2 linked regions of the Elephas maximus indicus genome follow. The protein of the gene in region 2 interacts with the protein of the main gene of each other region in a pairwise test. Links are inferred from orthologs where the notes say so. Each region holds a gene or a part of one and is shown on either strand. Other genes may lie near its edges.

The links.
Region 1: the proteins of EFS (region 2) and SH2D3C interact in a two-hybrid assay, tested with the Homo sapiens proteins (2 studies listed by BioGRID and IntAct). The two-hybrid records come from large-scale screens. The link is inferred for Elephas maximus indicus from reciprocal best matches to the Homo sapiens genes EFS and SH2D3C.

Annotation. Positions count from the first base shown.
Region 1 is NC_064827.1:78,863,196-78,879,307, forward strand, and holds the start of SH2D3C (SH2 domain-containing protein 3C), read right to left. Parts: upstream 8,536-16,112; 5' UTR 8,443-8,535; coding exon 8,406-8,442; intron 6,348-8,405; coding exon 5,870-6,347; intron 3,655-5,869; exon of another isoform or gene 3,567-3,654; coding exon of another isoform or gene 3,523-3,566; intron 1-3,522. Other genes in the region: CDK9 (cyclin-dependent kinase 9), read left to right, coding at 15,017-15,108, 15,572-15,653. UniProt on the Homo sapiens protein: Acts as an adapter protein that mediates cell signaling pathways involved in cellular functions such as cell adhesion and migration, tissue organization, and the regulation of the immune response.
Region 2 is NC_064828.1:34,691,440-34,707,284, forward strand, and holds the start of EFS (embryonal Fyn-associated substrate), read right to left. Parts: upstream 7,261-15,845; 5' UTR 7,033-7,260; coding exon 7,015-7,032; intron 1,988-7,014; coding exon 1,709-1,987; intron 1,462-1,708; coding exon 1,321-1,461; intron 1,195-1,320; coding exon 472-1,194; intron 167-471; coding exon 77-166; intron 1-76. UniProt on the Homo sapiens protein: Docking protein which plays a central coordinating role for tyrosine-kinase-based signaling related to cell adhesion. May serve as an activator of SRC and a downstream effector. Interacts with the SH3 domain of FYN and with CRK, SRC, and YES.

The sequences.
Region 1 (16,112 bases), on a different chromosome or scaffold from region 2:
GAAGGGACTTACTGGAGGTCACAGAGAGAGTCAGTAGGCCTCTAAGCTCCTAGTGTATCCCACTCCTGTCCTCCCCAGCCCTCACCACACACAGGTGAAGGACACAGGTCCAGCATCTGGCAGCCAGGGTCCTCTGGAAGTTTGGGGGGATATGTGGCTTCAACTGGGGAGGGAGGGCAGTCTATCCTTTCCAAGCCAGCCCAGTTCCCACAGCCTGAGGCATCCAGGGGTTTCAGGGACTGTGAGAATGTCTCCACAGGAAATGAGAGCCAGGAGCAGCTAGGACCCCTCGGAAGACAAGGACCAGCCGCCTGCAGCCTGAGGAGGCTGAACAGGCTGGGCCCACCACAGCCCCCTCCCCTAGTGGGTAATCGTTACCAGATGCCTGACAGCTGACATCACTCCATGGGGCGAGAGGGTCGTGGGACTCTGAGGAGAGCTGGGAATTCTTGGACCAGAATCAACATTCCAGAAGAAAATGGGGGTGGGGGGGAGCTCCTGGCCTGTTCTCAGCGCCTGGTACCAGAGCTGGGGCAGAAGCAACACAAGGTACCCCAGCTCTCCTATATGGTGCCCCTTCTCCAAGTTTCAGTTTCCTTTTGAACAGCTAGAGAGCCCCTTGGGAGGGGCCTAGGTCTCGGGGTCAGAGGCAAAGGACACTTGGGCAAGGCATCTTGGAGTAAGGCAGAGCTGTGTTCAGATCCTCCTAAACGGAGAGGTCCTCTTAAAATGTAAGTCAGAGCGGGTCCCTCATCTCACTCAGAATCAAAGCCAGGTCCTTGCTGGGACTTTCCAGGCCCTACATTATCTGAACCCATTTCCTCTCTGGCCTGGCCTCCCACCTACCCCTTTTGCTCTCTCCAGCTACTGTGGTCTCTCCAGTTCCTTAAAATTGCCACAGATGCTCCTACCTCAGGGCCTTTGCATATGGCATTCCTCAGCCTGGTGCATCCTTTCCCAGATAGGAAGAGGATTTGTTCCCTCATCTCCTTTGACCAAACGTTACTTTCTCACTGAGACTTTCTTCCTTGCTAACTTTCCTAAGTTGCCACCACTAGCCACTCTTGCCCCTGCACAACCAATCCCTCCATTTAATTTTAATTTTTCTCAATAGCCCCCTTTCCTTCTAGTCCACTACATAACTCACTTATCCTGCTTAACATCTGTCTTCTCCACACTGCAATGGGGACTCCACGAAGACAGGGTTTTGTCTGCCTTGCTCACTGCTGTCTCCCCAGAGCCTAGAACAGTGTCTGGGGGCATAGCTGCATCTCAGTAGGTATTAAAATGAAGTTTTAATTCACTAACTCTATAATAGGAAGCAAGTCATCAACTTCACTAAACCTCAGTATGTTCATCTGTAAAATGGAGCTCTTATTACCTCCTTTCCGGGGGGTTATGGGGAGTCATTTGAGGAAATGGTAGAGAAAGCTTTAAGATTTTTACATGAGGAAAGTGAAATGTGGCCTGTGGTTAAAAGTTTGGGCTTGAAAGTGGATCAGGTCTGGGATCAAATCCAGGCACTGGCACTTAATCACTCTGTGACCCCAGGAAAGTCCCTTTCCCTCTCTGAGCCTTGGCTTCCTCACTGGTAAAACAGGAGTAAAGGAGTTGGCAGGGACCATGTGTTAGACAGTGCACTCCAGGTGGGCTGGCAGGCTGTGAGTGGGGTCAAGATCATCTCTGGAGCAGGCTCTGGCCTGCTGATTCCTTTAGGGGAGCCACTTGCAGGCCTCCCTTCCCTCTCTGCGCCTCCATTTCCTCCTCTGTAACATAGAGTGGCAGGGAGTGGGGAGACGGCTGCCAGTGGCTCTCTGGGATCTGCCATTTCCTTACAGAAGGCTGAGGGTGCTTGAGCGGTAGGGGGCAGCTAGGCTGGTACTCTCCTATTTGGTTGCTGAAGGCCCTTCATCCCTGTGATGTTGGCCCCTCCTCCCTCCTTCTTCCTCTTCGTCATCCCCCATGATCTCAACAGGGAGCAGGGCACCAGGAAACTCCTGCAGCCTCACCTCTTCCCCTTCCTTCCTCCTGCTCCAGGTGCACCCTGCTTTCCAGGGGGTAGGGAGGATGACATCATCTCCCCCAGCTTAGGTTGCTCCCTGAGCAGCCACTGGGATGACCCCTCAGGACCCACAGGAAAGGAGACCCTATTCTTGCTCAGTGGCAGTTCTTCAAAGGCCCTCTTCCCCAAACCGGGTGGATTCTCAGAGACTATCTTCAACCCATCTGGGATGCTGAGGAGACTGAGGCCCAGGGTGCAGCAGGACTAGCCTGAGATCACTAGATGAGGCAGCTCTCCTGACTCCAGAGTGCAGGACTGAGGTTCAGGGCTTCTGGAAGAAAGATCGGGCTCCTGGCCTCTTACCTGGCCCTGTGGGGAGGTGAGACACTAAGTCCAGGAACACCAGGAGAGGGCTTAATCTGGTCTGCTAACCCCACCAACCTAGGATTCCTGAACACTTGGGGTGACTGGGAGTGGGGAAGAGTCTCTCCATTTCCTCAGTCAACTCCAGGCCAGACCTGATGCCAGAGGCACTTCCAGAACCACCAGGGCCTCTGCCCAAAAGGGGAGAAAAGCTTGGGTTGGGTCCTAGGCTTGGCATTCTCAAGGTTGCTAAAGACTACCCTTTTCAGAGACCCCGACCCTGCTGTTGCCCAGTCATTAAGTGCATAGACCTAGAAGTCAGAATTAAAGCTGATTCTGACTTTCATTAAAACCAAAAAACCAAACCCATTGTCGTTGAGTCGATTCTGACTCATAGTGACCCTATAAGACAGAGTAGAACTGCCCCATAGGGTTTTCAAGGAGCGGCTGGTGGATTGGAACAGCTGACCTTTTGGTTGTAGCCCAGCTCTTAACCACTATGCCTACTGTGCCAAATTGGGCATGTAAACCTCTCTTTCTTCATCTGTAAAATGAGAATGATGATAGTACCTCCCTCCTAAGGCTGTTGTGAGTAGAAGAGCTGATGCCCAGTGTGTGCCAGGGCAAGGCCAGAACAGAGTTAAAGCCAAGGAAGTGTGACTTAGAAAAGTCCCTGATGCTAAACTGGTACCTCGGTTTGTCAGCTGTCCTCCCAAACCCATTGCTGTCCAGTTGATTCTGACTCATAGCTACCCTATAGGACAGAGCAGAACCACCCCATAGGGCTTCCAAGTCTGTAAATCTTTACGGAGGAAGCAAACTGCCACAACTTTCTCCCGCGGGGGCGGCTGGCGGATTCGAACCCCTGACCTTTGGATTAGCAGACAAGCACTTAGCCACTGAGCCACCAGGGCTCCCTCAGCTGTCCTAAACCCAACAAATCCGTTGCCGTCGAGTCGATTCCGATCCATAGCGACCCTATAGGACAGAGTAGAACTGCCCCATAGAGCTTCCAAGGAGCGCCTGGCGGATTCGAACTGCCGACCTTTTGGTTAGCAGCCACAGCTCTTAACCATCAGCTGTCCTAGAGGGTCAGATTTCCCCCTCAGACACTCCTGTCCCTGCCGGCCCTCCTCCGGCCCAGCTGAGTCACTCACCCTCGAGGCCCCAGAGCCGGGTATCTTCGGCCCACTGTAGTCATGATTTCCCTGTGGTCGCCGCCCGAAACACCGGGACGTCCTCAGCCCGGCGGCTCCTGCCTTTCTCTGGCCTCCGAGCTGCGGAGTGTGAGGCAGGGCCCGGGGGCGGGGCCTGACCTGTAGACCACGCCTCCGAGCACGTCCCTCCTCCCTCTGCCGGGTTCCGCTCCACCGCCCGCTACTCTAGCAGAGAAAGCCGCGCCCCAAACACGTGTCTCCGCCTCCTGTCTCGCTCCGCCCCCTACCCGTCTGTCGGCTTCCGAAGCTGGGGAGCCACGCCCTTCGCAGCACACACCACCACACCTCCGCCTCGCTCCGCCCCGCTCCAACGCTGGCTTCCCAAACAGTCCGCGGAAAGGACACGCCCCTCCGTCCCGTCCCGCCGCGCCCAGCTCTCCCAGGCTGTCAACGTTGCTGGCGGGGAGGGACCAGGCTCCTAGTGCACATCCCAGACTTCGGAGCACCTCAGACTCCCTCAGGCCCATCAGGCACTCCCCTCTAAACACTCAATTCTTATTCCTCCACACCTGCATGAGCCAGATTTATGAGGGTTTGGCGGGAGAAGGGAGCCTGGAGCAGCCAGGTATGGAGGAAAAGCATTAGTTTTATTAACCATAATCATAAGCATTTCCATTTACTGAGCATTTCGGTGTGCTTGGCACTGTGCTGAGATTTCGAAGGTATATTATCCTTGAATCCTCACCATAACCCTATGAGATAGGTGCTATCATGATGCCCATTTTTCCGATGAGGAAACTGAGGCTCTGAGAGGGGAACACCCTTGTCCAAGGTCATGCAGGCAGTAAGAGGAAAAGACTGAACCGGTTTCGCTGTGTAGCTTTACAGGGTTCCACTCCCCAGTGAACCGGGGGTCTAGACTAGATTACAGCCCAGTACTCAGAAGCTGTTTGATGTCTCAGGGGAAGGCCACTCATGAAAGGTCCCAGAATTTACCCTAGAGTTAACTTTTGCTCAGCTGGGTTTTTTCTCTTTATTTCAGCAGGCACTTCTGACTGGTTTGATTTAGTCAGAGGCTCTGCCTCTGCAGGTTGAGAACATGGATGATTGCTTTGGTTAAGGGTGAGGAGTCTCCCAGAGGCATAAAGAAAATGGCCTTAGGCTTAGAAGACAGATAAGTGTGAGGCCACTGGAGGCAGGCAGATTCCAGCTAAAATCCCAGCTCTACAACCTCGGCTGAGTCCCAGTTTTCCCATCTCTAAGATGGGGCTAATAGAAACTTCTACAGAGTTTTCAGTGAGATAACATTTGTTTTGATACCCAGTAAAAGTGCTTACTGAGTGGGAGCTATTGTCACATCACTGTTATTTGTGTTTTTGCATGAACTCAGCTCACTCTATGTTATGGATTGAAATGCGTCCCTCCAAAAAGATATGGTGAAGTCCTAACCTCTGGTACCTGTAAATGAGATCTTGTTTGGAAGTATGGTCTTGGAAGATATTACCAGTTAGGTTAACGTGAGATCGTATTGGAGTGGGGTCCTAATCCAATAGGAATGGTGTCCTTATAAAGAGAAGATACACAGACACAGGGAAACAGAAGAAGGACTCCTTGAGATGCTGCAACTGCAAGCCAAGGAATACCTGGAGCTACCAGAAGCCAAGAGAGAGGCATGGAACAGTTTCCCTCTCAGAGCACTCAAAGGAATCAACATGGCTGATACCCTGATTTGGACTCTCAGCCTCCAGAACTGTGAGACAATGAACTTCTGTTCTTATAAGCCACCCACTTGGTGGGATTTTATTATGGCAGCCCTAGGAAACAAATACACCCTATAACCAAGTTGACAAACAGTTTTCTAGATCAGGTGAAGCAGTGTTGTCCAATAGGATTAAACATGGTGACCTGAGTGGTGAGGAAAAGGGGGGTAGCAGAGGAGGGCTCCAGTGATGGAGGTCAGGGCCCAACCAGCAGTTGAGGGCCTATGCTGGAGGCTATAGCTTCATAGTCTGGTGGACGTCAGTTCGAATCCTAACCTTGTCATTATCTAGATGTGCCATCTGCCTAGGGCAAATGACTTCCCCTCTCTGAGTCTTAGTTTCCAAATCTGTCATATGGAAATAATAACAGTACCTCCTCACTGAGTTTTTTTCTTTTTTTTGAGAATTAATTACAAGTGAAAGTCCTTGCACAGAGCCTTGTCTGTAGTAAGCACTTGGTTAACATGTTTCTTTTTCTTTTTAACCCAGATGTGTGTGTTGGGGGATCCTCTCCAGCGGTACATTGGCAGGAGGCTGGAAACACCATCCCTGTAGGTCCCACTCCACCTGCCCCTGGGGGCACCTACCTTCCTGAGGACACATCCCTGGGAGCGCTCTCCTCTTCCACGTCTACCTTAGGGGCCTCAGGCTTTCTCGTGGGGCCTGCCTCCACTGCTGAAGGACTGGGCCCCACTGCTGGGATGTCATCCAGGGGAGCAACGGCCTGCACAAACACCTCCTTGACTGCCTCCAAGCCTGGGGGGTCTCGCAGACTTTGGGGCACCAGGTGGGGCTCAGGACCCCTCTCCTGAGCCTCCTGGCCAGCCTTTTGGTCTCGAGCCCTCTTGAAGTTGGGGCGAGGCATGGTGCCCATATGGCTGTACATGTCACTTGAGCGGGCATAGGCTGGGGGACTCTTGGGAACTGTCACCATGTCATCTTGCGTGGCTTCAAAGGTGTCAGGCTCCAGATGGGATTGGTTGCTTATGTGGGCTGAGGACCGTCGCAGAGTGAAGGACCGGGAGAGGCTGGAGAGACTCCCAAAGCCCTTGAACTTGAAGAACTCTGGCGGGGGTAGGAGGAGCAGAGGAAAAGGAATTAATGACAATGATAGCAACAACAATAACAATAAATATTTCCAGTACCACTGACTGAGGCCTCAAGGAGGTTGGAGGGCTTCGCTGAAACCCCTTCTAAGTATTATCACATTCCCAGAAAGTAATGTAACACTATGGAATCATACAGCCCTGGGCTTGAATCCCTGCTCTTTCACATCCTGGATGTGTGACCTTAAGCAAGTCACTTGACCTCTCTGAGCCTCATTCACCACATCAGTAAAGTTCGAGTTATAATGCCTACTTCCTTTCATGGGCGATGGGAGGATTGAAGAAAAGCATGTAAGTAACAAGCTTAACAGGGTGCCTGGCACACAGACTACCCTCAATAAGGTCGTGATGACGATGAAGACAATGACAACAGTGATCATTACTGTGACAAATACCTCTGCATTTGTCGAACATGTTGCACATATTACCTCACTGAATCCCCAGCACAACTCAATGCCCCAAGCTTAACTCCCCATTTTCCAGATAAGAAAATTGAGGTTCAGAACGGTGAAATGAACCGCCCTAGGTCACACAGTCAATAGGTGAAGCATGTATGAGTGGGTGTGGATACCTGTGTGTGTATAGGAAGGGGAATGAAATGTAAAGGGGTGTTGGGGGCCTGAGGGTCCCACTCTGCGGTTCTCTGCTTCCTGTCAGCTGAGCCCACATATCGGACTGAGGCGACAGGGCTCGGGTGATACCATCTCCTCACTTCCGCAGGAGTGTGTGTGAGCTCCCTCCTCTCCTCCCCCAGCTGTAGGACTATCCCTCCTCTCAGCCTCTACCTTCTGACTTCCTTCCCTATGGCCCCTAGATGAGCAAAATAGAAAAACTGGCATTTTTCACTTTACCGGCAACCTCCACCTCCTCGGGTCCTCACAACCACTTTGGAATATAGGTAAGATATCCCCCATCAACGGGAAGCCCAGAGAGGGGAAGGGACTTGCCCAGGGTCACACAGCAAGGCCATGGCTGAGCCTAGACTAGGGCCCAGGCTCTGGACTCCTGAGTCAGATCTTCTCACCCTGTCCTGCTTACCCTCACCTGGTCTTCACCTCTGCCTCCTGAGAAATGCTGTCAGAAAATGCTGATGCTATGTGCTCAGACAGCTGCCCCCTGGGGTAGAAATTGTGCCCACGGCCAGAGGGATAACCATCAGCTGCCTCTTTTCTCAGCATTACTTGTTTTGTCTCCTGGGCACTCGAGGTAGAGGCAGTAGTGGGGCACAGAGAGAAACCGAGGCCTAGAGTCCAGGGATGCAGACTCTAGCCTAGCTCAGTGGTCCCATATGACCTCAGGCAAGTCTCTGGCCCTCTATGGGCCTCAGTATTCCCATCTGTAGAATGTAGACATAACCCTGTATTCTACTCCCCTACCTCCCTCCCTGGTGCTGTCAGATCAAAGGTTTCAGGGGACAGCGGAAGTTCACTGGACCACGAGCAGACCCAGCTGGGGAAGTGGAGGGAAGGGTGGGTGTGGCCCCTGGCCCAGGAGCCTGGTTAGTAGCTCTGGGCTCTTTCCCAGGTGCTGGGTCCCAGCCTCACTGCTGTAGGAACATGGGACAACATCCCATGGTATCCCCCCTGCCCCAGTAACTCCCAGCTTGAGATCAGTGTGGACCCAGGCTGGGGAGGGGAGAGAGGGCAGAGGAGGGAGATCTCTCCCTGCCCAGCCCTGAGGTTAGACAAAGCTAGAGATGGGGAGAGATGGAAAGACCGAGAGGCGGGGTGGGGAAAGACAGAGAAACAGAGATGGGCAAAGAGACAGGGACAAGAGAAGCAAGGAGATGGAGTCAAGCCATCTGAGGGGACAGAGAGAGAGAGACTGGGCCAGGGTGTTGGAGACACAGCAACATGGAAATTCAGAAGCAGAGAGCTCCGGAGAGAAACAGCAATGGACAGAAAGAAAAACAGAAAAGGCACAGGGGAACAGAGAAACAGATGCAGCCAGAAGCCCAGACAGACAGACAGACAGTTGGAGGGATGCAGACGAGCACAGGCAGCAGTCCCGCACTCACTGAACTTTTTGCTGGCTTTTCTGGGCTCCTCTGTCATCCTGGCGAGCTGTGCAGAGCCCCAGGGCAGCAGGCAAGTAGCCACTTGAGGCTCTGGACATCAACAATGATGTGCCTCCCCACCTCCCCTTCCCCTTTCTCAAGCCCTCTTGCTGGCTTCCTCTGTTTATTTTTAAACCAGTGAAACTCCCACAGCCCCACCCACCCCACCCTCTTCACAGGGGGTGGGGGTGGGGCCTCCCCATTCTCAGCCCCTCTGGGTCGCCTCCTTGGCCTCAGCAGCAGGGGATGGAAGGAGGGGGACCACAAGCCCATGGGACCTGGAAGGTCTGGGGAACAAACCACAGACTCTGGGAACGGAGCCCACTGGGCCAGGGGCCACCGAGGGCCTCCAGCAACTATCAGGGGGGCTGGCCAGTGAGAGGGGAGGGTACGGGAAGTCAGGCCAGCATGCAGGGCAGTTGTTACAAGCCTTGGTACCCTGGAGATAGACTGGCAACTGGGGTAGGAGCGTCTGTAGTCAGACCTGTGGGTTCTGGGACCACTCAGACCCAATTCAACTCTTGGCTGGCCACTTGGCCACCTTGTCATCTTGGTCTGGAGAGCTCACTCGCTGAGCCTCAGTTTCCTCTCTGTGAGCAGAGGTGCTTGCAGTGCCTACCCCTCAGGGTCCCATGCTTGGCACAGAGCTTGGCACAGATTTGGTGCCTATCAAGGCGTGGTCACTTAGCAGGGACACAGCAGTAATTTGGTCCACCACACCCATTGTACACTGAGGGGGAAACCAAGGCACAGACAGAGTGATTGCCCCAGGTCACACAATAGGTCAGTAGCACAGATTGGGTTACAATTTTCCCTTCCGGGTCCCTTAACAGGAGCCTGGTACTTTCCCTACCCTACAACCTTCCCTTGTATGCACACTCTTGTGAGCAGGACAGAGATGAGGAAATGCAACCTCCCCTCAAGCAGGTCATCCCCAACACCTGCAGAGGGTGTCAGCAGTTGCTCCGGCTGGTGCAGCAGCAAAACCAGGGGCTTCAAATCCTAGTGCAGACAAGTACTTCTGCCTCCAAAGCCTCCGTCACCTAACCTCTAAAATGGGTATGAGGTCCACAGTCAACCTGCAGAGGTTCTGGCATTATTTTATTATTATTCTGGCCTCCAGGCCGACAACCAGGCCTAAGAGGGAGGGAGTCCAAGGTCAGATGGAGCTGGTTTTTGTATCCTCTATAAAAATAATGATGATGACTAAAATCTTCTGCCAACTTCATTCCAGCCACATAGCTCAGTCCTTAGCCATAAGAGGTAAATAATTTTACTTTTGTCCCCATTCTAGAGATGTGGAAACTGAGGCCCCAAAAAGTTAAGTCACCTGGAGTTGGAACCTGCTTGGTCCAGCTACAGAGCCTGAGTTTTTAACTGCCACATTCATGGCCTCCCCTAACTCCCTGTCAGCAAGGTGATGCACTTTGGTGGGAGGAGAGTCTGGATGAACTTTCTTCTTGGTGTAAGGGTGAACAGGGGCCCTGAAAAGGAAAGGAACAGAGCCCATGAGGCCAAGGGAGCAAGGTCCTGGCTTGCAGATAGGCATGGATGAGACCAGTGTTCAAGGCTCAAATGAAAGTAAGGGATTTCTGAGTCACGAACTTGGGAGAAGAAGGTATATTTCTAGCTCTTGCTATCGAGCACTGACAATGTGCCAGGTACAAGGTTGGAAGCCTCCACAATCCTCCATTTGAATCTTTACAACAGACCTATGAGGCAAATTCTGGTACTGTCCCTACTTCACAGATGAGGAAACTGAGGCTAAGGGCGAGCAGAGACTAGAGAGAAAGACATCCAGGTGTCTGTCCTCCCAGGCCAGTGCCCTTTCCTGTCTCAGGTTGATGTCAGAAGATGGAGAGGGCCCCTAGCAGAAAGCAGAGGGTGGGTCCCCCCGCTCCAGCTTCTCTCTCAGGACGCAGTTCCAACATAACTAGGGTTAAGTTCCAGGGCTGTGGCATCGGCCAGTGCTGGCTTCCCAGTCCAGCCTACTCCTGACTTGCTGTGTGATCCTGCGACTAATTTCTCTGGGCCTCAGTTTCCTCATCTGTGAAATGAAGATGGGAGAATGAAAAGTAAATGCTAGCACGCAGTGGGCCTCGGCAAGCAGTGGCTGTTGTTGCTATGGAATAGGAGGGAGCCAGGAAAAGGACAAACCCGCTCAGGCCAGGAAAACCTTGGTGGGTGGGCTTGCTGCTTTGGCGGAGGCTCCTCATCAGCGCTAGGGCCGGTCTTGGTCTTGCCGTTGGCCCGGGTGCCAGCGGAATTGCCCCTGTCGCTGGGAGAATGAATGGAGCTCAGTGTGGCAGCTCCGCCAAGCTCAGAGCCCCCTTTGTGCTGCCTCAAGTGGCCGTTGGGAGTGTGGCTGGGAAACTGCTGGCGGGTGGCTGTCCCACAGGCCCTTCTCAGCCTGTGCTGGAAGCCAGCCCTGCCCAGCCCACGCTTCGCAGCCCTGAACACACTAACTAGCATTCCCCTGCCTCCAGGCCTTTGCTTGGGCTGGACCCACATCGAGAATGCTGCTCTCCCCTCCACTGGCTCAAACTTTTGCATCCTTCCAGTCTCTCCAGGGCTGGCCAAGCCACAGTGCCCCCAGGAACCCTACTCTGATTTCTGTCCCTTTTCCTTGCCCCTCTCCCCTAGTCTATGACTCAATCACCTGAAGCTTCACCAAGTAGTATCAGAAATTGGAGACCTAAAACTTCAAAGGCATTGGACTCAGGCAAACCCAAGTTCAGTCCCCACCTGTGTGTGGGGTGGGGAGTCATGTCTCCTCTCCGAGCCTCTTTTCCCTGGTTAGTAGAATGGAGCAAATACAACATCCCTCCACACCATCTTGTGAAAGTGAAATAAAAACATTTTTATTGAGGTTATAATTCTTATTACATTTATTTGTGTCTTTATTTATATGTTCCAAACAGAACTCAAGCTTCCTGGATGCCTTACCTACCATATCAGCAGCTATACCATAGGTGCTCAATAGATGCTTTTCCCCGGGTTGACCTGGTTGCCTGGTATTGGGGGCAGTATAGGATGATGGTTAATGACTCTGGACTTTGAAAATAGACCTGGTTTTGAATCCCGCCTCCACTGCTCCCTGGATGAGTGGCTTTGGGCAGGCCACCTCACCTCTCAGATCCTCGGTTTCCTGCTCTGTAACCTGGGCTCAAAAATAGCACCTCCCAAAAGAGGTGCTATCAAGTTTCAGGGGATGATGACACATGTCAACACAGGCCAGATACAGAGTCAGTGCCCAGCCAGTGTGGGCAGAACTTTCATGGTTTTATAGGGCCATGGACATCAGCAGCCATTCTGTCCTGTATCCCTCTACGCAGTGACCCCTTGTCTGTCTGGTCACACCAGCAGCCAAAAGCAGCCCAGCCCAGGAGCCTATCTTCCTTCCCGTTCACATTTCTCTACCCCATTCCTGCTCTGGGGTAGAAACAGAGGGTCCAGGCCAGGGTCAAAAAGCTGTCCAGTGGCTCCCTTTCCTGCTCTGTGTCTCAACTGCCCAAACTGTTAAATGGCAGCAGGACTAAGGGCTTGTCAGAGCCTGGTCAGTAGGTCAGCCAGCAGACAGTTAGTGAGTACCAGCCATATGCCCAACCTTGCCAGCTTAGCCAGTCCACAGGAAGCAGGAAACCAGCAAAACAGACGTCAAAGTTAGCGAGAAATTATTTCTGGCTGGGATCTAATTTCTTCTCACTTCTGCCTGGGTTTTGCCAGTTTTAGTGGGTGGCAGCCTTCAGAAGGGTTCCTGACCCCCCTTGCCTGCCTTCCTTCCCCAGGGAGGGCTGAGGGTTCAAGGCTCCAAGTAGGAGTGACTGATGGATATCGGGGTTCAGGCCAGGGACAGTAGGTTGGAGGTGATGATAGCACCGGAACCTCTGCTGAGGTCTCTGCCCACAGGACGTGGCTTAGAGGAGGTGTCGTGGGAAACAGGCAGCAGGCCCTGGTCTGAAGGTATGAGGGTGGCAGCCACGTAGACCCATGGCAGACCCGCATTGCTACTTTGCCTTCCTCCACCTCCCATCCTACCTCCAGGCCAACTTGCCTGTGTCACGGCTCTGCCCTGGCTCCACCTCCAGTCTGGATGGGCCAGGCCCTGACATGGGTAAGGGTTTGGGCTTTATGCCACACAGACCTGGTTTAAATACCAGTTGGCCACTGGCTAGCTATTTGACCCAGTGTGTACAACGGAGTTGAAAATAGTACCCACTCACAGGGTTGAGTGAGAATTGAGATGATTCTCATATGGTGCTAGGTGTAGGGTTTGCCCCATTTATTTTTCTTCAATAAATGTTAATTACTATAATCATTATCTTTGTCCTCCCTGCCCTCGCTCACCCCCATATTAGCCAATGGGCTCCCTGTTTGCAACAGGTTACCCGTGAAGCTGGCCCAACACACTCTGACACATCACTCAACTGCCTAAAACCCTCACAGGCTCCACACTGCCCTCAGGAGAGGCCTCCCCACTCCTTGGACTGATCCTTAAGGCCCTCCCTGGCAAGGCCTTGCCCCAGAACAGGGCCTCTTGGGATACCAGGATCAACAAACCCATTCCTGGCTGTCACAAGAAGGTTTCAAGGCCAGGCAGTATAGGGTAAGAGCTGGGGAGCAACCCTGAGCTTTCTGAAGGCAGAAAGGGTATTCGGTCAGGGGAAGGGTGGTGGGAGAGGACTGGAGAGCACAGCCCTGAAGACAGGAAAGCTTAAGGAGTTAGGAAGTGGAAGAGAGATTTGTGTGGCCATAGACCTGGGGAGGTGAGTTACAAAGAGCCTTGAATGTCACCAGACAGTGGAGGGTTTGAAGGTGGGAAATACATGCAGACCTCACTTTAGAATAATCTGGTGGGTGCTGTGAGAAAGACAGATGGAAAGGCTGGACTGGGGTGGCCAGGATTCAGGATACATCTGCAGAGCTGTAAAGAAGGGGGCAGATTGAAGAACATAGAAAAGACAACTCTGCTAGCGGCTGGTCATTGGGCAGAGCTAGAGGAAGAAATGGAGGCTCCTAGCGCTAGGAAGATACCAAGAAGATGCTGGGAAAGGCATAGGCAGCATGGGGATGTGGGGAAGTGTATGGTCAGGAGGGGGACGGTGGTGAGTGGGAAGCTTAGTGCCTGGCAGGAGGACAGCATACCTCAGGTAGCACCACTGCTATCCTCCTGAGCATACTGTAAATAGCCAGAGTCAAAAGAATCCTCGTGCAGGTTCAGAGAGACCAAGTTCCAGCTTTGCCACTGTGTGACCTTGGGCAAATGACCTCATCTCTCTGAGCCTCAGAGTCCTTCTCTGTAAAATGGGTTAGTGATCCTGACTGCGGGGGTTGTTGCCAGGATTCAGCGTGAGCGCCCAGCACTTCTTGAGCACACGGGGGTCCTCAGTAAATGTTAGCTATTTTCATGGGCCCAACCGGCTCTGGCGCAGCACGGATGGGGTGGGGGCGCTGTGATTCTTATTCCTGCCTCCCAGAGAACCAGGGGTACAGGGCCCGAGGCCGGGGCGTTGCTAGCTCGCCGCCTCCAGTGTCGCCGCGCCCCCTGGCGGCCGTCGGTTGCCATGTCAACGACGGGTGGCGGGGGCCGGGGGGGCGGTGGCGGGGGCCGTTCACTCCTCCCAGGGCCGGAGGCCGCTCCCTTGGCGCCTCCCGCCTTCGCCTCTGGCGGGTAACTCCGAGCCGTGAAAGAAGGGGCTCCCCGTCACAGCCTGCCGGGGTGGTAAACTGAGGCACGCGGTGGGCCGCCTCGCAGCCAGGTGTCGGGCGCGGAGCCCCACCTCCGAAAGCGGGGGAGGGGCCGCAGGCGGTGACGCGCCGAGGGCGGCCGGCGGACAGCGGGCGGGCGGGCGGGCGGGCGGCGACAGCGGCGGCGGCGGCAGGTGCGGCCGCGGAGGGTGGGAGGGAGGGGGCGGGTAGAGGGAGAAGGGAGGGCGAGGCCAGGGCACCTCCCCCTTTATAACGCGCCCCCTTCGGGGCTCTCGGGCCGCCTCCTCGTCGGCTCTTTCTGCCTCGCCCCCTAACCCGGACGCCCCGAGCCGGGGCCCGGCCAGGGATCCCCCAGGCCGCGGCTCGGGGACCGCCCCTCCGCTCGCCGCCCCGCGCAGCCCGGCGGAGGCGGTGCCGTCGGAGGAGGAGGAGCAGGGCACTGCGGCTGGCCCCGGATCGGGCGCCAGAGCGGCAAGCAGCTTCGGCAGCAGCAGCGGCCCGGGCCAATGCAGCGGGACGCACCGCTCAGAGCCCCAGCTTCGGCGCCCCGGCTCCCCGCGCCCCCGATCGGGGCCGTTGCCGGCAGTGGCGGCGGCGGCGGCGGCGGCGGCGGGGGCAGCGGCGGCGGCGGCGGCGGCGGCGCCTCTGCAGCTCCAGCTCCCTCTAGCCTCCCGGGAACTACAAGTCCCAGGGGGCCCGGCGGCGGGCGGCGGGCGGAAGAGGCGGGGTCTGTGCCGCGAGGCCGGAAGTGGCCGTGGAGGCGGAAGTGGCGCGGCCGCGGAGGGGCCTGGAGCACAGCAGCAGGTCCAGGAGTGGGAGCGGCGGCGGTGGCTGGAGGTGGTGGCGGCGCGCTGGAGGCGGCCATGGCAAAGCAGTACGACTCAGTGGAGTGCCCCTTTTGTGATGAGGTGTCCAAATATGAGAAGCTCGCCAAAATCGGCCAAGGCACCTTTGGGTAAGACTGGGCCCCGAGGGACTGGGGCCCCGGGGCCAGCACTCCCCAGGGCCGACGTGGGAGCGTCGGGAGCTGGGCCTGAGTTGGCTGGGAAGCCGCTGAGTCCCGGGCATGCCCCCTGGTCTCGCAAGGCCGGGCCGCATCCCGCCGGGGCCTGACGGGGCCGGCTGGCGGGGAGGAGCCTGAGGCCTGGGGTGTGGGACGGCGAGGGGTTGCAGAGAGGAACTGGGGAGGAAAGCGGGACCTCCGGAAGGCGCTTGGGTAAAGAGGGGGGACTGAGGGAGGGAAGCGGAGGCCCGGCAAGGGGCCGGAGACCCAGGCCGGTGAGGTGGCCGAGTGCCGGGTGCCCGGCCGAGCCCCGCCCGGGAGTCTCCCTGTCCCTGCCACACTTCCTCTCGTGGGGGAGGGGCGAGCCCTGCGGAAACTGCCTCATCAGCCCTCAGTGTCCCCTCTCGGCCTGCAGGGAGGTGTTTAAGGCCAAGCATCGCAAGACCGGCCAGAAGGTGGCCCTGAAGAAGGTGCTGATGGAGAACGAGAAGGAGGGGGTAAGTGCGGCCCGCCAGCATCACAGAGCAGCGGGTTTGGGTTTCCAGCCTGCTTTTTCCAGGAGTCTCCTGCTGAGGTTGAATTTTTGTTAGTAGTTTCGGAAATTGGCACATTTCAGGGAATTTGGCCTCGAAATTAAGTCTTTTAATTAAAATATCTTAAACATTTGTTTAAGTAGGGCTGAGTCCAGGAGGGGGAGCTCATGCTTGCACTGCATGCACTTTGGTTCAGAGTTTAGAAGCTTTAAAAATTGTTTTCTTTAGTATATGATTTTGTTTAATGTAAAAAATGTATGCATATGGCTTTAAAAAGTGAGTAATATTCAAAGAAGTGTGTTGGAAAGGAGCATCCCACCCAATCTTAGCTCTCATCCCACTCCCCAGAAACCAAGTTCTCATCAAAGATGTTTTAAGGTTATTTTTGTGACCACAGAGCAAGTTAAACACAGGCATAGAGCT
Region 2 (15,845 bases):
TTAAGAATTCTCCTCCCAAATTCCTCTTCCCCCTTCCCCAGACCCCCTTCTCTCGCACCACCCCCACCAAGGTTACCTGCTGCTCTGGCAGCTCCCTCTCCAGCAGTTCAGGGTCCCCTGGGAAGGCCTTATCCGGGGGCCTAGATCCCTGAGCTTTATCCATGCCCTGCAGGGGATCCAGGTCTCAGCACAGAGGTGGGAGGGCAGGGTGGGTGGCCTCAGCAGCCTTTTTGCCCCTCTGAGTCCCCTTCCTTCTGGGGACTGTTGTGTCAGAGGGCTGAGGGGCAGAAGAGGTGTACTGGTACAAGCGGTATGGCCAAGTACTGGGGACCCAGGCTTCAGGTGGAGGGCTAGGGCAGGGAGGAACGTAGGGAGGAAGAGGAGGGCTCAGGGGCTGGGCTCCAGGCCTCTTTCCTCTTCTCCCTGGTTGTGCTGGGGGGTTCTGGGTGGGGCTGGCCCAGAGGTGCTCACCTTCAGGTGGACGTAGTCATACTCTTCAGCCATCGGGATGCCCTCATACTCATTGTGGTGTCCCTCTGGATCATCCTCCACCTGTCCTCCCTCTGGATCCCCTTCAGCCTTGGGGGCCCCATAGCCAGGCAAGTGGGGTGGGGGCGGGGGGAGAGGCCGGTCCTGGATGCTGCCCTTTCGGCATGGGGCAGGAGAGGGAGCCGGAGAAGGGCTGGGGGTCTCGGGGACAGGCAGGGCAGGCAGAGGACGGCGGGACAAGCTCTCAGCTGAGGGCAGCCGGGGCCTGTGTGGGGGTGGGGGGCTCCTGGCCAAAACCAGAGACAGAGTGTCCAGGTCATTGGAGGCTGAGGCTCCTGGAGGCTCTGGGGAAGGAGGTGCCTCTGGCCCCAGCAGGGGCACGTCATAGATGCCCTCATCGGAGCCCCCACCTTCCCCTTCTGTCAGCAGTTCCTCGGGGGCTTCATACAGATTGAGCAGGGCCGATGCCCGTTTCAGGTTGGAGGGGGCAGCATAGAGGGGAGGCCCAGGTTCCCGGCCCCCCTCCCACTCCAGGTCCGTCTCCAGCTCTTTCGGTGGCTTTGGGGTCAGAGGCACATCATAGGGAGCTTCATTCTCTCCAGGAGGCTGTGGGGGCACCCAGGCCAGAGGGCGGGAAAAGGAGGCTGGAGAGTCGTAGGGGCTACTGGATGGAACCCGGAGGGCAGTGGGGGGCACGTCATAGACCTGGAGAGGGGGAGGAGTTGTTAGTCTTCAGGCTTAGTGATGAACCCTCCCTGGGGGCCCCCATGCTATATACACACAGACACAGACACACATGGGTCTCCAGGCCCAGGCAGCCCCTGCCCATACCTCTGAAGTGTTTCCAGGGGCAGCCAGCTGGGTCCCCCTGCCTCTGGGGATCTTGTAGATGGGGTCAGGGGAGGGCGGACAGGGTCCAGTCAGAGATCCTGAGGTGGGACAGGGCCGAGCTGGGGGTGGTACCACATACACCTGGGGATCAAGATAGGTGGGTGGGTCAGGAGGAGTGAGGGGCCAGGGAACAAGATAACGTCTGGCTTGAAGGAGCTTAGAGGCCCTCCAACCCCTTCCCTGTATTGATGGGGAAGCAGGGCCCAGGAAGGGCTGGTCATTAGGGTTCACAGAGCAAAGTCAGTGAAGAGCTGAGGTAACCTGCTCTGCCTCACTGCAGGCCCCAGAGGAAGGGCACAGGGCTGAGTTCGGGCTCCCCAGCTCTCACCTCCTGGTCCTTATTGCCATGCTCTGGGGCTGGATATGGTGAGCCAGGCGGAGGTGGGGGCACCTGGAAGATGCTGGGCTTGGGTGCTGGGCCAGTGGGAAGGAGCTTCACTCTGTTGGCAGGCACGATGCCCTGCTGACCGTGTAGGGAGCAGAGGCACCAGCCGTCCAGCCCGCCTGCACCCTCCTGCTGCAGGACCCGTAGAACATCCCCTCGGCGGAAGGACAGCTCCTGGGGGGACTCAGCAGTGTTGTCGTAGAGTGCCCGGGCCAGCTGGGCCTGGTGGGTGAGGTGGGAGTGAGGCAGGGTCTTCACCCATGTTAGGTCATGTCACCCCCTGCTCAGACCCCTTCAGAGCTCCCTGTTTCCCTTAGGTTAAAAATCTGAGCTCATGGCTCATTTCTTTCTCACTGGGCCCACCTCCTCTCTAGCTTCCCCTCCTCCTGCGCTCTCCCTCTTCCTTTCTATTCCTTGCACTAGACAAATTCTTTCCTGCCTCAGGGCCTTTGCACTTGCTGTTCCCTCTACCCAAAATGCTCTTCCCTTGACTTCTTATCTTACAGGCCCTTTTTTATCCTTCAGTTTGGCTTAAATGTCTCCTTCTCAAAGAGGCCTTTTCTTCACCCCTCCCCCAGCCCCCATTCTCTGTCTCCACACATGGTTTCTGTCATAATTCTTTACACTGTTTGTCCATTTACTTTATTACTGATTTCTTCCCTTATACTGTAAGCCCTGTGAGGACAGGAACTGCTTTCTTCCTAGAACCTGCAGTAGGGCCTGGCTCACAATCAGTCCTCAATAAACAAGCTTTGAATGAATTTCCTCCAAAGCCTTGTGTGTGTGCTAGGAAGTCCTGCTAAGGTTTTCCCCAGAATTTTCTTTACCTTCCCTCAGCTGGTGTCCCCCCAAAAGAAGCAGTTGCAGAAATCCCCTAACCTGAGCAAGTGGGAGAAGCCCAGGCCAGACACAGTGCCTAAGCATAATAATGAAGAAAACAGAAACCGAAGCACTTGGTTTGTTCTCAGTCTGAGCAAACCTCAGAAGAGGCTGAGGTTACCATGGAGAAAAGTGTGTACACTCCAGTGTGTGTGTGTTTAGAGGCAGGCTGGCAAACCAACCAAGACAAACATTTATTAGCCTGTTTCTTGTCCATCGGGTGGGCCCATCGAGGGCCATATGCTCAGATTATAAGCCACAGATGTTTCTGTTGTTGTTAGTTGCTGTTGAGTCAATTCTAACTCAGAGTGACCCCATGTGTTACAGAGTAGAACTGCTCCGTAGGATTTCTTGGCTGTCATCTTAAAGGAAGCAGATCATCAGGCCTGTCTTCTGTGGTTCCACTGGGAGGGCTCGAACCACCAACCTTTGGGTTAGCAGTTTGGCACAAACCGTTTGCACCTCCTGAGGACTTTTTAGTAAGTCACAGGTGTTTTTGCGTGCTGTTGAGTAGATTCCGACTCATAGTGACCCTATAAGACAGAGCTAGAACGGCCCCATAGGGTTCCCTTGGCTGTAATCTTTATGGGAGCAGATTACCAGATCTTTTCTCCCACAGGGTGGCTGGTGGGTTTGAACTGCTGACCTTTCAGTTAGCAGCTGAGTGCTCTAACCATTGTATGACCAGGGGCTCCTTAAGTCACAGATACTGAGTGCTAATTACATGTTCAGACACTGTGTATGTCTTTACACTAATTATCTCATTTAATCCTCACAACAACCTCATGAGGAAGGGGCCACCACTATTTCCATTTTGGAAAGGAAATTGGAACAGAGAGGTTGGTACATTGCCCAGTGATGCAGAGTTGGTGGAGCGTGAGTTGAACCCCAGGCTGTTGGATTCCAGAGCCTGCACTCTCAATCACTTGCTTTACTGCCTCTCCACAATCACAAATGTATAGACCTACTTTCTTATATTGGTTAACAGTGGTTGAGTCGAGAGTCCATGACTCAAACATGAGTCAAGGGCACATGGAGGCTTCATTATGCCCAATTTCCCTTTGCTAGTAACCCTTCACAGTGCTCGGGTTCCAGGATATCCTTTGGCAGAATCAAGTTTAAACCACTCAAAATGCCAAATTACCTGTTCTGCTTAAGTTATGATAGCTAAGTGACCATGGCTGCTGGCAGGGCCCCAGGCAGTGGTGGTGGACAGCAGGTAGTTTGGGAGTACTGACTAGGTAATCCCCGTGTGCTGACCAACTCAGTAAAAAATCCCAAGCTGAAGACCTCAAACAGGCTGCATTTGACCATCAGGCCCTGGGGAGGTTGCCCTGTTCCTTCGGCATGAGTGCATGTGCCTTCTGGTGGGTGTTTCCCTCTGTGGAGAGGTTGTCCAGCCCTTCACGGCTGGTTGACTTTAACAACAAACTAACTTCTCCTCTTGCCTGACTCCAAACTCATCAAACCATTTTTTCATTATATTTTGGCTTCTAAAGGATATTGTTCCACAGAATGGAAACATGCAAACCAGATGACATAGATTTCTGGCTAGCTCAGCATGTTTCTTTCTAAATGTAAATTATAAACTGGTGTTTTAGATCTAGCCAGGGGGTTAAGAGTATGATTCCAGAGGCAGGCAGACCTGGGTTTGAGTCCTAGCTCTGTCCCTTTCTAGCTGGGTGACTTTGAGCAGGCTGTTTAGGCTTTCTGAGCCTCAGTTTCCTCCTGTGTAAAACTCGGATAATAATACTACTATCCCCATAGGGTTTTTGTGAGGTTGTGGGTGAGATAATGCATCAAAAACCCATGAGAGGTTTGGGGACCATGGTTTCTTGGGAGATCTAGGTCAATTGGCATAATAAAATCTATTAAGAAAACATTCTGCATCCCATTTTGGAGAGTGGTGTCTGGGGTCTTAAACGCTAGCAAGCAGCCATCTAAGATGCATCAGTTGGTCTCAATCCACATGGAGCAAAGGAGAATGAAGGACACCAAAGACATAAGGTAAGCATGAGCCCAAGAGAAAGGATGGGTCACATAAATCAGAGACTACATCAGCCTAAGACCAGAAGAACTAGATGGTGCCTGGCTACAACCAAGGACTGCAATGACAGGGAACACAACAGAGAATCCCTAAAGGTGCAGAAGAGCAGTGGGATGCAGACCTCAAATTCTCGTAAAAAGACCAGACTTAATAGTCTGACTGAGACTAGAAGGACCCTGGAGGTCATGGTCCCGAGACCTTCTGTTAGCCCTAGACAGGAACCATTCCCAAAGCCAACTCTTCAGACAGGGATTGGACTGGACTATAAGGAAGAAAATGATACTAGTGAGGAGTGAGCTTCTTGGATCAAGTAGACACATGAGACTATGTGGGCAGCTCCTGTCTGGAGGGGAGATATGAAGGCAGAGGGGGACAGGAGCTGGCTGAATGGACACAGAAATACTGGGTGGAGAGAAGGTGTGTGCTGTCTCATTAGGGGGAGCGCAACTAGGAGTATATAAAAACCAAAAACCCAAACCGAGTGCTGTTGAGGAGATTCCTACTCATAGCAACCCTATAGGACAGAGTAGAACTGCCCTATAGAGTTTCCAAGGAGCACCTGGCGGATTCGAACTGCCGACCTTTTGGTTAGCAGCCGTAGCACTTAACCACTACTCCCCCAGGGTTTCCAGGAGTATATATATAAAAAAATATATAGCAAGGTGTATATAAGGTTTTGTATCAGAAACTGACTTGATTTGTAAACTTTCACTTAAAGCACAATAAAAAAAAAAATGACTTAAGGACACTGAAGGGTTAGATTTCTTAGTCTAGCTGTCAAAAATATTGTTTTTTTTCAAGTTCTTTTGAATAACATATGATTTGGCACACATTTTAACAATTAAACTGTGGACTTCACATTAAATGAAAAAAAAAAAAACCCACGAGAAAGCTTAGCATAGTGCCAGGTGTAGTAAATGCTCAATAAATATTAGCTGTTATTAGGATTCTGAGAGTCTGATTAGTGTAAGTCATTTCCCTGGACCTCCTCACTTCTGAGTAAAAGAAAAAAATCTACCTCCTGGGACTAAAAGCTGACCAGCTGGCTCCTAAGCCAGCATCTTTACGTCACAGTGCCCCTACTATTTTACGACCTCCCCCTCTCTGGCTCTGAGCTAAGGTCTTCTCACCATCACATAGACTGAGAAACTAAAAGGAGTTTGGTCTGAGATGGTGCCAAACTCAAACCCAGCAGGCCCCCTCCAGGGGTATGGGAAGATGATGGATGTCTCTCCGTTTCTCTTTCCAGTTTCACAATCCTCCTTCCCAGAGTTCCCAAGCAGAGGGGGGCCAGAACACTGGTGGCAGCCTCACTTTCCCTGGGAATCACTTGGATTCAGGCTACAGAGGGCATAAGACAGAAAGCAGAGGTGGGGCTGTGAAGTACTCCTTCCTGTTAGGTTTGAATTCTGTCCAATGGGGCCAAACAACCCAGGCTTGCAATTACAGGAAACTAGAGAAAGACCTGGCAATCTGCTTCTTACAGCCAAGAAAACCCTATGGGGCAGTTCTACTCTGTCACATGGGGTAGCTAAGAGTCAAAATTGACTTGATGGCACCTAACGACAGCAACAACAACAACGATGGGCAGAGTTGTTATAGACGGATTGATGATGGGTGTGGCCCACCCCTGCTCTACCCCCTTCTCAAGGGCCCAGCCGACTTGTGAGGGAATGGCTGGCTTAATGGGGGTGGCCGTGGACCACTTGTTCTTTGGGAGGCCGCCTCCCACTGTCCCATCCAGCCAGCTGTCTCCTCCCTTTGTCCCTAGTCCCCGGAAAGTGGCCTGAGGCTGGCTGACATCACCTCCCCTCCTCCCTCTATTTTCTCTTTCTCTTGCCAGAGCGTCCTTCTTTGCTCCATTTCCCCCGTTTCCTCCGTCCCTCCTCTAGAGATGGGCCTCTAAGAGTCCTTTGGCCTCTCCCATTTTCCCTGAACTACATCCTTTCAGCCCCCTCCCAACCTTTTACTAGCCTCCCAATCACAAGCCCCTGCCGACCACAAGTGGCCACCTGTTCCCGCCCAGGAAAGCAGATAGGTTTCTGGTTACACTTGCCCCCTCCCCTTGCTCCAAGAGCAGCCTCCAGAAAGAATAGAGGAGAATGGGGAGGGGGAGGGGAGGAGGGGCAACTCAGAACCCGTAGGAGCGCAGGGGATAAGTGAGAAGGAAAGGGGAACAAAAGTGAGAGGAGGGGAGACAGCCTTCTGGCGAAGAAAGGGACCCAGGAGAGAGACAAAGAGAGGAAGAAATAAAAGTGACAGGACCGCATGGCAGGCTGTGGAGGTCGCTGTTCGGCAGCCTCCTCTCACTGATGGGACTCACCGACGTGGCTATGGCCATGGGCTCGGCCTCTGGCGTGGCCTGCTCCAGGCCAGGCTCGGTTTCGCTGACTTCAGCAGCGGTTGACCCGCACCATGGTCCACTGCCTCCAGGCGAGGAGGCGCCCCCCGGCTGCGGCGCCTGAGCCGTGGCCTCCGCCGAAGTTGGAGGAGGAGAAAGAAAATCCACAAAACTCTCCAAATGGGAGGCAGCCTGGCCAGGCAGGAGGAGGAGCGAGGCGGGTCGGGGCGTCGCTGCGGGACCTTATCCAAAGGCGCGCGCTATGTACTGTCCCGGGGGCCACCAGGCTGGCAAGGCCCCCGGGGCTGCCTGCCCTAGGCCGCGGAGGCTTACCGGACCCTCATGGGCCTAAAGCTCCCTTTTAGGGCCCGGACCGGCGAGAAGGCGGGAGCTGGGGCTGTACTCGACGCCTCTCCAGGCCTCTCTGAGCGGCCCCAAGGGCTGGGAGAGGCCGCCGGGGCGGTTGAGCTGGACGAGTGAGTTTAGGGATCAACCCTTCCCACCCGGGGGGCGCGCAGAAGAGTGGGACTCCCAGACCACTGCTCGGGGCACCGGAGGACACTGCGGCGGCACCCGCTGGGAGAGCAGGAGAGCGAGAACTGAGACTTTTGTCCCTCTTCAAACTCGCCCAAGTTAGCGTGGGGAGGCCGGGCTGCCACCAAAGGCCTCCGAGAGCGTGGCCGTTGGGCTGGGTTGCTGGAGTGGCTGCTTTCTGCCCAGACGCTCGCACCACAGGCAATGCGGCGGGCTTACGCTCGCACGCTCGCTGTAAGCAAGCTGGGGAGCCTGGGGGCGCCGCGACGGTGCTTCGCCCCCGGCTGTCGCCTGGCAGCAGCCCGCACGCAGGCACAACCCGTAGAGGCGGGGCGGCCTGAACAACTCCTGCTGGCGGCCAGGCAGAGAGGGGCCCGCCGCCCTCCTCCAACCCTCGGCCTTGGCGCGCAGGGCCGCGCACGACCGCTCGCACCCTCTGCCCCCTGGCACCCGAAGCGGGCCCCGCAGCCCACGCTCGCACGCACCCTAGGCAGGGCCCCTCGGCACCTCCCAGGTGTCTCTGGGAACGAAGGGAAAGACCACAAAGCAAAAGAAGAAGCAAAAGGAAGGCGAAAGAGAGCAGTGGCTAAGGTCCTGTGGACTCGCCTGGGGGGTGTTGGGGAGGGACCCTTAGAGGGTCCCCCCCGAAGCAGGAGGGCTGGGAGGCTCCGGGGGTCGCGCGTGGCCCCCAGGCTCACCCCCCGCTCTCGGCTACCCTCCCTTTCCCGGGCTCCTGGCTCCCTCTCAGTGCAGTTTCTTCCTCCTCCCCTCCGGCCCGCTCCGACGCGCGGCTCAGTCCTGGGGATTAAGAAAAAGAGGGAGGGGAAAAGGGAGGGGGCGGAGGAGAAAGGAGGACGATCCCTCCAAAGGCGGGTGTTGAGTTTCAGCTCCGGACCCTCGGGCCAAACGGCACTCCCCCTCCCGGCCCCTTTGCTCCGCGCCTCCGTCTTCCCGACTACGCGGCGGATCTCCCGGTGGTCTGGTCAGCTCCCCGCTGGGAGCTTTCCTCTCCCTGCCACGCCCCCGCCCTCCTCCGCCAGCCCCGCGCCTCTCTCTGCCTTCCTTTCATTAGCCCCACATCTGTCTTTCCCCTGGGAGGGAGCGTGCTCCTTCCGCCTTACTGGGGTCCCCTGCAGAGCCTCTCCCCTCCCTTGGATGACAGGGTTATCCAGGCTGTTCCTGAGGGGAACAGGCTGGAGTCTGGGGCTGGGCATGGATTCTGGCACTGGCAGGAGAACGTGAAGCCTGAGCTCCTGGCCCCAGAGCTGCAGAAGGGCCGGTTGGGTAGCCTATCACACTTTGCCAGTCTGGGCCTGTCCCCCGCCCTCAACCCTTCTGGTTCCGTGCTGCCTGGGAGAAGCAGGAGTGGTGACAACGGGCACAGAAGGGCAAAAACTCTTTTAGAAGGACTAGGATCTGTACCCCAAGGAGTTTCAGCTGAAATGACAGGGCTCTTTTAATCCCCCACACCTCTCTGCCCTTCCTATTGTTACTCCTTAGATTTCCTGTTTCTTTCCAGCCACTTCTTTCTCCTGGTTCTCCCTCCTGGGCACACACCAGAGGCTTGAGGGAACCCTACCTACTTCCATTTCTGAGTTTCCTGGTCCTTAAAAAAGGAGACACCAAACAGTGTTGAAAGCTGTGGTATATTTTTCAGTGTTTACATTTAACAAATTAACACTTCAAACACATAGACAATGGCTCTGTGTATAACCTCCTTAGGAGATAACATCCGAAGTCTAAATTTAAGGCCCTTTTGGAACCTGAGGACTTGGACTGTGCTCTCCTCGCCACATACGTACACATTCCGCAGATCCACATATCCAGGCATTTCCCAGGACACTGGGAGGATACCCGTGCCAGCTCTTTCACCACCCTATTGCCTGGGCACCTATGAGGATCCCTCTGCAGAGGCGAGGGATGGAGCCTATGAGGGTTAGGGAGAGATGCTGGGGTGAACGTGGGGATGAACCATATTGGCTCTGGGCTTGGCTCAGAGATGGGGTGCATCCTGAACAGACCCAGACTCCATTAGGTCAGTATGGGAACAGATACATCTGAAGGGAGAGTGCCTTCATCCCAGCTCCATCCTCATCTGAAGTGGCCACTAGGGAAGGTTCTCCAACCTCCAGACCTCAGCCCTGGAGAGCAGAGGAGGGGGTGGGGGCTGGCCACCTGGAGCATAGACATTCAGCTGTGGGGGGTGGGGGGTGGGGTAACTGGTATGGTCTCTGCCCAGGGGACTGTCAAAGCAAATTGGGGTCCAAGGTGGAGGTGGGCAGGAAACCCTGTGTTCAAAGAGGAATGCTGTAACTGACACCAAAGGAAATAGGTGGAGGCCAGAAAAGGCTAAGCAGGAAAGAAGCTGCTAGGGCCAGGGAAGACTGGTGGCTTGGGAGATGAGTAGTGGGGCTCACTGCGTGTAGCCCAGTGCCTGGGGAAATGTGGATGAGAGATATCAGAGTACAAACCAGGGAAATATGACTGTGTTCTGGAGTCCCCAAGCATGAATGGAGCCAGTCTGACTCCGGCGTGAATTCTGGTTTAGTAGCTGTGTGACCTTGGTCAAGTTACATAACATCTCTGAGTCTCAGCGTCTCATCTGAAACAGTGACTTTGGTGAGGAGGAAATATATGTAAAGTGCCTAGCACAACGATCTTCTTCCATGGCTTTTCCTCTTCACCTTTCCTCCCCCTTTAACTTGTGCTTTCATAAGCTCATGCCCTTTGTGAAGGCAGGAGGAGCCTTTTCTCTGTCCTTAGGCCTCATCTCTGGCCTCTCCTTTGCACAGAGGTTTAAGCTATTCTAACTTGTTTAGGGAGAGCTCTCAGCTCCAAGTAAGGTTGGAGAAAACTCAGGTTTAGTGGGCAGCTAAGACCTTGGGTGGGCTGCAATCTCAGGCAGCTTGGCCCTCAGTTTGAGAGTCTACCCTTGCTGTGTTCAGTGGGTAGAAAGAAAGGAACTCCATCCAGCTTTCAGGACTCCAGTCTTCTCTCCCAGTCTTTCTCCTCCCCAGCAGGGTCTGACCAGCTGTGTCTTCCTTGCTCTACCGCATGGCTTCTTGGACTTGTCCTTGTTCCTCTTGCTACCTAAGCCCTCTCAGATGCTCATTAATTCTTCCCTGGTCTCTCCAATCCCCTTCTCTTTGGGTCTCCACAGCACCAGATGGTGTGAGTTCTCATCCTAGTTCTAACAGGACCTATGTAACCTTGTCCAGTTACGTGACCTCTTGGAGGCTCTGGTTCCTTGTCGGTAAGATGGGGCTAATAATGGAACCAATAGCACTGGCTTGTGTTGAGGATTCAGAGTTAATCTTAAACCCTGAGAACAGTGCCTGGCCCATGATGCGTAAATGTAGGATAAAAGGAACGACTATTACTATTTGGTGCCAGCCATGTGGGTGTTACTTGGTGCCAGAATGTGAAGAATATGATGCCTGCCCTTGAGGACCTCACATCCCGTGGATCATACCTGAATCCAGTTAAAACCTTCCCGCTTGGAATAAAATCAAATGCTCCATCATAGCCTGTCAGACTCTGCATGATCTGGTCTCTGCCCTCTTCCACTGTCTTCATCTCATTCCCCTCTCCCCTTCATTCTTTGCTTTCCATCCACATGGTCCTTTCTGTTTCTCAAATATGCCACACTCTTTCCCACCTTTAGGACGCCGCATGCTCTGCTTCCTCTGCTAAGAAGATTCTTCCCCTAGGCTCTTTCCATCTTCATGTCAAAATCTTCATCCTCAGAAAGATCTTTCCTGGCCTACCGAGACGAGGTTGTGACCTCTCCCCTAACAGTAACTCCCTATCTTCTAATCGAGTTTCATTTTCTTCATAGCACTTACTGCTATCAGAAATTACCTTGTTGCCTGTTTATCATCTGTCTCCTCTTGAAACAGGGCAGCAATCTTATCTGGCTTGTCCTTGTCTGCATTCTTAGTATTTACAATTGTGCCTGGAATATACTAGGTGCTCAATAAATATTTGGTGAGTGGATGAATGTACAAAGGCAGCCATGACTATAGGACAAAGCTTGAGTAAGCCAAGGGCCCTCCTTGGGGAGGCACCAGCCTTGGGCTCAGGGGAGTTGCCAGGCTCTTTGTCCCATTCACTCTGATTCTTCTTCTGTTGTCTCCCAGGCCAAACTGGGTTCTCTAAGCCTAAACATCTTTGTAGCTAAAAGTTATATTAAAAATATTTAGCAATGACAACCCAAGTGCCCAGATGAATGAATAAAGTGCGGTATATACATACAGTGGAATATTATTCAGTCATAAAGTTCTGATACATGCTACCACATCGGTGAGCTTTGAAACCATTATGCTGAGTGAAATAAGGCAGACACAAAGGACAAATGTTGTATGATTCCATTTATATGAAATATCTACAATAGATGAATCCTTTGAGACAACGATTAGTGGCTACCAGAGATTGGGGAGGAGGGGAGAACAAGGAGTTAAAAAAAAAAAAAAATTCAAGAATCACTTATAGGTGTTCCCTACAGTCTTCTTAAAACCAAACAATGGTTTATCTTAACTAGTAAAAAATGCTTGCCTTGAGCATTATGCTCTTTTAAGAACTATCTACATGGGATCAAATTGAGAATAGCAACTCAAAAGGTTAGAGAGGAGCTTTAGTGGCTGTGAACTTATGTTAATGGCGGAGGAACAATTCAGAGAAGGAGGGTGAGGATGGTTGCACAACTCAAAGAATGTAGTCAATGTCACTAAATGGTACATGTAGAAACTGTCTTATTGGTGTATGTTTTGCTGTGTATATTCTCAACAACAAAATAAATAAAATTATTTTTTAAAAAAAGAATCACTTGTCGAAAGAGTTCAAGGATAAACTGGAGGATGGAGTATGTACGGGTTTCCTGGGGCTGCCATAACAAGCTACCACACATAAGGTGCCTTCAAACAACAGAAATTTATTTTAGTATAGAGGCTGTTGTTGTTAGGTGCCGCTCAGTCAATTTTGACTCATAGTGACCCCATGTGACAGAGTAGAACTGCGTCATAGGATTTTCTTGGCTGTAATCTTTATGGAAGCAGATCACCAGGTCTTTCTCCCGCAGAGCTGCTTGGTGGGTTCGAACCGCCAGCCCTTCAGTTAGCAGCCAATTAGTTAACCATTGTGCCGTCTTGTTATGGAGACTAGAAGTGTGAAATCAAGGTTTCAGCCTTCAGTTCCCTCTGGAGGGTCTGAGGGAGAATCTGTTCTGTGCCTTCCTCCTAGCTTTTGGTGGTTGCTGACAACCCTTGGTGTTTCTTGGCTTCCTCCCAGTTGTATCATTACAGTCTCTGCCTCCATCCTCATATAGTTCTCTCCTCTCCATCTGTGATTTCTCCTCTTCTTATAAGGACATTTATTATGGGATTTAGGGCCCACCCAGATAATGCAGCATGATCTTGTCTCAAGATCCTTAACTTATTTACAGCCACAAAGACCATTTTTCCAAATAAGGTCACATTCACAGATTCTGGATGGACATATCTTTTAGGAGGCCACCATTCAACCCACTATAGAGTAGATAAAGTTTAAGGTTCATCTAACCCTGAGCTTCTAGGATCCTACATTATTTATACTAAAGCATATGTGACTGATGTTCAATGCTTCCCTAAAAGAAGTTTTTAAAGGGCAATGAACATCTATTAACTGGTGAAAGATGGGGGAAGAAAAGAAAAAACTAGCAATGAGTACTACGAGAACTGACCAATCAAAACACAGAAGCAAGGTTTAAGCCAGCTTCCAGGAGCAAGCTATACCAGACATTCAGCCTTTGGTTACTGGATCACAGGGAGGTCAGAGGAGGGAGCTATCCCAGGAGGCTGAGGGTAGTATCTATTTACCGGCAGATGCAGAAACATTTCAACTTTTTTTTTTTTTAATTAACTTTTATTGAGCTTCAAGTGAACGTTTACAAATCAACTCAGACCGTCACATATAAGTTTATATACATCTTACTCCGTATTCCCACTTGCTCTCCCCCTAATGAGTCAGCCCTTCCAGTCTCTCCTTTCGTGACAATTTTGCCAGCTTCCAACTCTCTCTATCCTCCCATCCCCCCTCCAGACAGGAGATGCCAACACAGTTTCAAGTGTCCACCTGATATAATTAGCTCACTCTTCATCAGCATCTCTCTCCTACCCACTGTCCAGTCCCTTTCATGTCTGATGAATTGTCTTCGGGGATGGTTTCTGTCCTGTGCCAACAGAAGGTTTGGGGACCATGACCACCAGGATTCCTATAGTCTCAGTCAGACCATTAAGTACGGTCTTTTTATGAGAATTTGGGGTCTGCATCCCACTGATCTCCTGCTCCCTCAGGGGTCCTCTGCTGTGCTTCCTGTCAGGGCAGTCATCGATTGTGGCCGGGCACCAACTGGTTCTTCTGGTCTCAGGATGATGTAAGTCTCTGGTTCATGTGGCCCTTTCTGTCTCTTGGGCTCTTAGTTGTTGTGTGGCCTAGGTGTTCTTCATTTTCCTTTGCTCCAGGTGGGTTGAGACCAATTGATGCATCTTAGATGGCCGCTTGTTAGCATTTAAGACCCCAGGCGCCACATTTCAAAGTGGGATGCAATTATTTTGCCAATTGACTTAGAAATCCCCTTAAACCATGGTCCCCAAACCCCTGCCCCTGCTCCGCTGACCTTTGAAGCATTCATTTTATCTCGGAAACTTCTTTACTTTTGGTCCAGTCCAACTGAGCTGACCTTCCATGTATTGAGTATTGTCCTTCCCTTCACCTAAAGCAGTTCTTATCTACTAATTAATCAGTAAAAAACCCTCTCCCCCCTCCCTCCCTCCCCACCTCGTAACCACAAAAGTAGGTGTTCTTCTCAGTTTATACTATTTCTCAAGATCTTATAATAGTGGTCTTATACAATATTTGTCCTTTTGCCTCTGACTAATTTCACTCAGCATAATGCCTTCCAGGTTCCTCCATGTTATGAAATGTTTCAGAGATTCGTCACTGTTCTTTATCAATGCGTAGTATTCCATTGTGTGAATATACCACAATTTATTTACCCATTCATCCGTTGATGGACACCTTGGTTGCTTCCAACTTTTTGCTATTGTAAACAGAGCTGCAATAAACATGGGTGTGCATATATCTGTTTGTGTGAAGGCTCTTGTTTCTCTAGGGTATATTCCGAGGAGTGGGATTTCTGGGTTGTATGGTAGTTCTATTTCTAACTGTTTAAGATAACGCCAGATAGATTTCCAAAGTGGTTGTACCATTTTACATTCCCACCAGCAGTGTATAAGAGTTCCAATCTCTCCGCAGCCTCTCCAACATTTATTATTTTGTGTTTTTTGGATTAATGCCAGCCTTGTTGGTGTGAGATGGAATCTCATCGTGGTTTTAATTTGCATTTCTCTAATGGCTAATGATCGAGAGCATTTTCTCATGTATCTGTTAGCTGCCTGAATATCTTCTTTAGTGAAATGTGTGTTCATATCCTTGGCCCACTTCTTGATTGGGTTGTTTGTCTTTTTGTGGTTGAGTTTTGACAGAATCATGTAGATTTTAGAGATCAGGCGCTGGTCGGAGATGTCATAGCTGAAAATTCATTCCCAGTCTGTAGGTGGTCTTTTTATTCTTTTGGTGAAGTCTTTAGATGAGCATAGGTGTTTGATTTTTAGGCGCTCCCAGTTATCGGGTTTCTCTTTGTCATTTTTGGTAATGTTTTGTATTCTGTTTATGCGTTGTATTAGGGCTCCTAGGGTTGTCCCAATTTTTTCTTCCATGATCTTTATCGTTTTAGTCTTTATGTTTAGGTCTTTGATCCACTTGGAGTTAGTTTTTGTGCTTGGTGTGAGGTATGGGTCCTGTTTCATTTTTTTGCAAATGGATATCCAGTTATGCCAGCACCATTTGTTAAAAAGACTATCTTTTCCCCAATTAACTGACACTGGGCCTTTGTCAAATATCAGCTGCTCATATGTGGATGGATTTATATCTGGGTTCTCAATTCTGTTCCATTGGTCTATGTGCCTGTTGTTGTACCAGTACCAGGCTGTTTTGACTACTGTGGCTGTATAATAGGTTCTGAAATAGGTAGAGTGAGACCTTCCACTTTCTTCTTCTTTTTCAGTAATGCTTTGCTTGTCCGAGGCTTCTTTCCCTTCCATATGAAGTTGGTGATTTGTTTCTCTATCACCTTTAAAAATGACATTGGAATTTGAATCGGAAGTGCATTGTATGTATAGATGGCTTTTGGTAGAATAGACATTTTTACTCTGTTAAGTCTTCCTATCCATGAGCAAGGTATG